Oryctolagus cuniculus: one gene and its partner. The protein of the gene in region 1 interacts with the protein of each later gene in a biochemical or structural test. Links are inferred from orthologs where the notes say so. Each region holds a gene or a part of one and is shown on either strand. Other genes may lie near its edges.

What was found. The genes of interacting proteins can lie anywhere in the genome.
Region 2: of the proteins of RNF8 (region 1) and histone H2B type 1-B, one has a biochemical effect on the other in vitro, tested with the Homo sapiens proteins (2 studies listed by BioGRID). The link is inferred for Oryctolagus cuniculus from reciprocal best matches to the Homo sapiens genes RNF8 and H2BC3.

What each region holds. Positions count from the first base shown.
Region 1 is NC_091436.1:132,286,898-132,290,918, forward strand, and holds the start of RNF8 (E3 ubiquitin-protein ligase RNF8), read right to left. Parts: upstream 2,801-4,021; 5' UTR 2,664-2,800; coding exon 2,559-2,663; intron 1-2,558. UniProt on the Homo sapiens protein: E3 ubiquitin-protein ligase that plays a key role in DNA damage signaling via 2 distinct roles: by mediating the 'Lys-63'-linked ubiquitination of histones H2A and H2AX and promoting the recruitment of DNA repair proteins at double-strand breaks (DSBs) sites, and by catalyzing 'Lys-48'-linked ubiquitination to remove target proteins from DNA damage sites.
Region 2 is NC_091436.1:153,352,444-153,355,127, reverse strand, and holds histone H2B type 1-B, read left to right. Parts: upstream 1-1,419; 5' UTR 1,420-1,747; coding exon 1,748-2,128; 3' UTR 2,129-2,184; downstream 2,185-2,684. Other genes in the region: histone H3.1, read right to left, coding at 1-397; histone H2A type 1-B, read right to left, coding at 1,027-1,419. UniProt on the Homo sapiens protein: Core component of nucleosome. Nucleosomes wrap and compact DNA into chromatin, limiting DNA accessibility to the cellular machineries which require DNA as a template.

The sequences.
Region 1 (4,021 bases):
ACTATTCTACAGTTAGGTGTGAAAGAGCAATGAATGTGCAAGGTCTTGATGCAGTTATGTGTGGACAGGTATCTGGCCCAGGGTTTAAACATTGCTTGGGATGCCCACATCCCATATCAGATGGCCTGGGTTTCTGTCCTGCCTGGCTCCAGTTTTGTTTTAAGATTTATTTATTTGAAAGACAGTTACAGAGAGGCAAAGGCAGAGAGAGAGAGAGGTCTTCACCTCCTGGCTCACTCCCCAGATGGCCACCACGGCTGGAGTTGGGCCGATCTGAAGCCAGGAGCTTCTTCTGGGTCTCTCACAGGGGTAGAGGGACCCAAGGACTTGGGCCATCTTCTGCTATCTCAGGCCATAGCAGAGAGCTGGATCGGAAGTAGAGCAGCCAGGACTCAAACTGGCACCCATATGGGATGCCGGAAACTCCAGGTGGCAGCTTTACCAGCTCCGCCAGTGCTGGCCTCTGACTCCACTTCTGATTCCAGCTTCCTGCCAGTGAATACCCTGGAAGGCAGCAGGTGATGACTCCAGTACGTAGGAGCTTGCCACCTACACAGGAGTACTGAACTGAGTTCCAGCCTCTGGTCTTGGTGCGGCCCAGCTCTGGCTGTTGCTGACATTTGGGGAGTGAACCAGTAGATGGAAGATCTGTCTGTCTCTCTCTGCCCTTCAAATAAAAAACAAATTGAATAGGTATAGGAAATAAATTCTATGTGTACACAAAAACAAGTGACCGTGTAAGTTAATTTTGTGTATAACTACATTACTCAGGTGCTAGTGTCTTACTCGGTTAAGTTTCTCAAAGGTATATGCCTTCGGAAAGGGCCATGCAGAGAAAGGGCAGCAGGGCTCAGGCTACAGGAATGAATGCCTCATGTGACTCCCAGAACTAACACCTGGACAGCAGAGACACTTGGAGGCAGAGAGGTCTTGCTGATGTTAACCAAAGCACAGCATACAAAGTCACCCTCTGCTACCCCCTCCTCTGGCAACATTTAAGGCCGGACTGAATCCCTGCAGGACTGGAAGGATCACCCCTCTAGCACAGAGCAAATAATCCAGCACTCCATCACACAGCCCCCAGGTTGTTCTGACTGCTGTCCTGTGCCAATCCCCTTTCCCCACAAGCCAGAACAATTTTTTTAAAAAGATTTATTTATTTTATTTGAAAGGCAGAGTTACAGACTGAGAGAGGGAGAAAGAAGAGAATATCTCCCATTGGTGGTTCACTCCCCAAATGGCCACAATTGCTGGGGCTGTGGCTGGGCCAGATATAAGCCAGGAGCCCAGAACTCCATCTGGGTCTCCCATGTGGGTGGCTAAGGCCCCAGCACTTTGGCCAGGCACATTAGCAGGGAGCTGGATGGCAATGACGCAGGCGGGACTCAAACAGGGGGCTTGTATGGCGGCAGGTCCTGGCTTAACGGCCTGCGCCACAATGCCCGGCCTGAGTTCTTTGAGGGCACAAGTTGGCATCTGTTCCTCTCAGCGTTCAACAAACACTTGGAAGACTAAATTAAGACTATCTAGCTTACAAAAAAAAAAAAAAAAAAAAAACCACTAATTAAACATACCTAATAATCGAAGTGTCTTTAAGGCATAATAACCTATCACCAGTATTACTGCCAAGTGAACCTTTCATACGTATTATCTCCAAAGTCCAGGGGGCCCCAGTCACCCCGGTTCTCCTTCCCAAACTGACAGCAATCGAACTCTAGCGATTCCCTCGGCCTGGCTAGGCCCATTACCCAGAGCTAGCGGCCGCCAGCAGGAATCGTGCCTTGCCTTTCCTCAAAAAAAAAAAAATTTTTTTTTTTAATTTGACGCTGATGCCTTTATTAACAAACACCAGCCACCTCCGGGGAGAATTCTGAATCCCTACCCCTGTCCCACCTCAGGGGGATGCCACTCGGCGGCACCCAGAGTCACGGGATAAACGGGATCCATCTCCAAACGCCAACACCCCCCCCCCCCCCAATAAAAAAGTTGAAAAGAAGGAAGACGGTTCTCCATCAAAGTCTGAGTATTTTAAGGGGCACAATCCCAAACTCGGGATCATCTTCGAAAGAAACTCGACAAAGTCGGCGCCCTTGCCCTGCGTCCGCCCCAGCCCCGCGACAGTTCCTCCGTGAGACCCCGGCCCCGGCCTTCTCCTCAGCCGCCGCACGCCCCCTCCCGCTGGGCCCCTCCGCACGGCGGCTGCCCGCTCGCCGGCCTCCAGCTCAGCCCGCCCCCGGGCCCAGGCCTCTCGGAGCGGCACCTGCTGGCTCGGCTGCCCTCGGCCCCGGAGGGCCCGTCTCGTAACTCCGCGGGTCTCCCCTCGAGCCCACCCCGACTTTCTTCCCGTCCCCTACTCGATCCCTAGTTCGCCCCGGTCCTTCCCACTTCGGACTCCTCAACCATCGGCACCAGAACCCCTTTCTCCCTTCTCCCTCCCAGGACCCACCCGTCACGCCTCGCTCCCCTCCCGGCCCCCAGCTCCCTTCCCCACCCCCGCACCCGGCCCCCCGGCTTCCTTCAACCCCTTCCTCCGCTTCAACGGGACCCCTCCCCCTCACCTCGCGCCCGTCCTCTAGCAGCAGCCACTCGACGTTCATCCCCACCCGCCGCAAGCACCAGCTCTGGCACCGCAAGCCCGTCGCCAAGGAGCCGGGCTTCTCCATAGCCCACTAGGCCCCGCTCGGCGCTCAGCACTGAGCGAGACCCCGACTCGCGTTCCAGCAGCCTCTGTGTGGCCCGGCGCGCGCCATAGCTAAACGACAGACAGAAGCAATCGCCGAGCGACCGCGATCGATGCTGCGAGATCGGGCTGCGAGCCCCGCCTGATCCGGTAGGAAGAGGGAGCGTTGCGCCTGCGCAACAGGAAGGCTTGGCAGGGTGGGGCGCGGACGCCCGACCCCTGCGTGGGCGGAGGCGCAGGTGTGGTGGGCGTGGCCAGAGCCTGTAACTGACCTGGCCCACCGTCCAGGTTCTACCATCCCCAGACTAGAGTTTCACTTCAATTTTCGTCTTAGAAAATTTGTTTTCGCATTATGAACGCGTGATAACGATGATGGCCGCCTTTATTTAAAACTAGCCCACTTTTGAACTGTAGGGTTGCGATAATTTTTAAGCCTGTTTGTACCTAAAAAGCATCTATCTTGAGAATCTCCTTTCATTGCCGGATTTTAATTTTATGTATTTGAAAGGCAGAGAGAGACGACAAACACAAAGCTCCCCTGTGCTGATTCACTTCCCCGATTCTGGCAAAGCTGGAACCAGGAGACAAGAACTCAGCGGGAGTCTCCCACATGGGTGGCAGGGACCTAATCACTAGAGCCATCACCTGCTGCCTCCCAGGTGCCCGTTAGCGGGAGGCTGGAGTGGAGAGCACTGCCAGGGCTGAACTCAGAGTCCGCTACGGGATCAGGGTCCCGGGTGGCATCTTGACTGTTACACCAAATGCTCACCTCTGATTACCAAACTTTTAAAAAATTATACTGGGCAAAACTATATAAACACAAAGCAGCTTACTTGGGGCTGAGGTGGGAGCAGGACTGAATGCAGATGGGCTTAGAGGAATTTGGGGAGGTGATTAAAATGTTCTGAAAGTACACACGTGTACGGATTTATGGATATGTCACTGAAATACACACTGCCAATGGGTGAGCTTGATGGTATGTAAATTATTCTCAAGTCTTCTTATGTTAAATTAAGGGAAGTATATATATATGAATCATGCACAGTACAACAGTAAATTATTAGTGTTTACTAAGAGGTAAGTGGGAGGCTGGTGCTGTGGTGTAGGGGATAAAGCCACTGCCTGAAGCGCTGGCATCCCATCTGGGCACTGGTTTGAGTCCTGGCTGCTCCACTTCCGATCCAGCTCTCTGCTGTGCCCTGGGAAAGCAGTAGAAGATGGCCCAAGTCCTTGGGCCTCTGCACCCATGTGGGAGACCCAGAAGAATAGCCTGGCTCCTGGCTTTGGATCAGCGCAGCTCTGACTGTTGCGGCCAACTGGGGAGTGAACCATCGGATGGAA
Region 2 (2,684 bases), about 21 Mb from region 1:
CGCGGATGCGGCGCGCCAGCTGGATGTCTTTGGGCATGATGGTGACGCGCTTGGCGTGGATGGCGCAGAGGTTGGTGTCCTCGAAGAGGCCGACGAGGTAGGCCTCGCAGGCCTCCTGCAGCGCCATGACGGCCGAGCTCTGGAAGCGCAGGTCCGTCTTGAAGTCCTGCGCGATCTCGCGCACCAGGCGCTGGAAGGGCAGCTTGCGGATGAGCAGCTCGGTGGACTTCTGGTAGCGCCGGATCTCGCGCAGCGCCACCGTGCCGGGCCGGTAGCGGTGCGGCTTCTTGACGCCGCCCGTGGCCGGCGCGCTCTTGCGGGCCGCCTTGGTGGCCAGCTGCTTGCGCGGCGCCTTGCCGCCTGTTGACTTGCGCGCTGTCTGCTTAGTACGAGCCATCTCGCGCCGGTGGGACTCAAACTTCTTGTCTGCGGCGACAGAGCTGCCTTTAAATATCGTTAGGACTACTGTGATTGGCTTCCGGATTTTCAAAAAATCCGCGCGACAAACTCATTGGCTAAAGGAGGAACTTCGATGATTGGTCCACTCAGACAACCTGATTGGCCGGATTCATCCACTGTCCGTTTGGGATGGTAGACGTTTTCTAACATCTGGATCATTCCATCTCAGAAGCGTACCTAACCGTGGAGGGAGATTACCTCAGTAACAGGCCCTAGCGTGGACCCCGAAATCCCTAATTACCTGGGCCTGCCGTCTAATAGCGCCCGATAAACACTGAGCCACGGAAAGGTGCCCTGACTTAAGGCAAAACGCGTTTTACGTTTGAAACAGCTGCACCTCGGGGGCTATTTCCCGACTGACACACCCCCCGTCACTGTGTGGCCTTTCATCCGTCACAATAAATACACGTTTCACTTGTTTCCACAGTTTTCTTAAGCGCTAACGCTATCACCATGGGAAGGACTAATTCCAGTCAGGGTTAGCAGCTTTTTTGTGAAACAGTGGATGGCCCTGAAAAGAGCCTTTGGGTATTTCAAAGCGAGAGTTGCGTCGTCTTTACTGTGGTTTCACTTGCCCTTGGCCTTGTGGTGGCTCTCGGTCTTCTTGGGCAGCAGCACGGCCTGGATGTTGGGCAGCACGCCGCCCTGCGCGATGGTGACGCGGCCCAGCAGCTTGTTGAGCTCCTCGTCGTTGCGGATGGCCAGCTGCAGGTGGCGCGGGATGATGCGCGTCTTCTTGTTGTCGCGCGCCGCGTTGCCCGCCAGCTCCAGGATCTCGGCCGTCAGGTACTCGAGCACGGCCGCCAGGTACACTGGGGCGCCGGCGCCCACGCGTTCCGAGTAGTTGCCCTTGCGCAGCAGGCGGTGCACGCGACCCACGGGGAACTGGAGCCCGGCCCGGGAGGAGCGGGTCTTGGCCTTGGCGCGCGCCTTGCCGCCTTGCTTGCCACGCCCAGACATGGTACAGCCAAACACGCTTCGCAATCTGAAGTAAAGAAAACCATACCCGCCAAGACTGTGCTTTTATAAGCAGCGCAGGGCTACTACAGTACGTCATCCTATTGGTCGAAATAGGTTCGCCTTTTCTGCCCAATAGGAAAAGACAACCCGGATACCTTATTTGCATAAACAACCCCCCTAGAGAAAATTTCTTTGTTGTCCAATCAGAAGTGAGAAGTCTCAAACCCTCATTTGAATTACGGGACTATAAATATATGCACTCCGGCCTGTCATCACTAATCAGCTGTAGACTGAGTCTGTTTTAGTCTCTCAGCCAATATTAAAAGCAATGCCTGAACCCTCCAAATCCGCTCCCGCCCCCAAAAAGGGCTCCAAGAAGGCGATAACAAAGGCGCAGAAGAAGGATGGCAAGAAGCGCAAGCGCAGTCGCAAGGAGAGTTACTCCATCTACGTGTACAAGGTGCTCAAGCAGGTGCACCCCGACACCGGCATCTCGTCCAAGGCCATGGGCATCATGAACTCGTTCGTCAACGACATCTTCGAGCGCATCGCCGGCGAGGCCTCGCGCCTGGCGCACTACAACAAGCGCTCGACCATCACGTCGCGCGAGATCCAGACGGCCGTGCGCCTGCTGCTGCCTGGTGAGCTGGCCAAGCACGCCGTGTCCGAGGGCACCAAGGCTGTCACCAAGTACACCAGCTCCAAGTGAGCTCCCGAATTGGCGCCGCCGCCCCTCACCCCAAAGGCTCTTTTCAGAGCCACCAACTCTTTCACAAATAGAGCTGTGGCCGACGTCCTTGTATTTTGCTCCTGTTGAGGTGGGTTTAGGTCGGGTGTTAGGGCTGGCGTTAGTGACGACCCCAGAACGCGTGTTTATCCCGTGCAGGTCGGCGCTGAGTAACCTTAGGGCACTTTGGTCGGGGTCGGGGACTGGGGTTCGCGATGTGATGGGAGATGCGCATTTCGTGAACTCGGGTTCGCATGAGCTTTGAAGAGCCCCCTCTAACATCTCCAGCTCCTCGACAGTGAAATGGAGTGAAATTCCTGCAGTTCTCCCTGTTACCTACCTGTAGCCACTAATCACGTCGGCTAAGCAGTCCTTGAGTCTTCAGAAATCCATGGATCACCTATTGGATGGGGCGGATTTTTCTCAAGAATGGAGCCTTGATACTGGCTGGAGTCAGGATGCGATCTGAATCCCGCGCCTTTCCTGGTTCGCGGCCAGCCACTGGCTGAGGGGAGGGGCCAGGGCGCGTCGGGGCGGA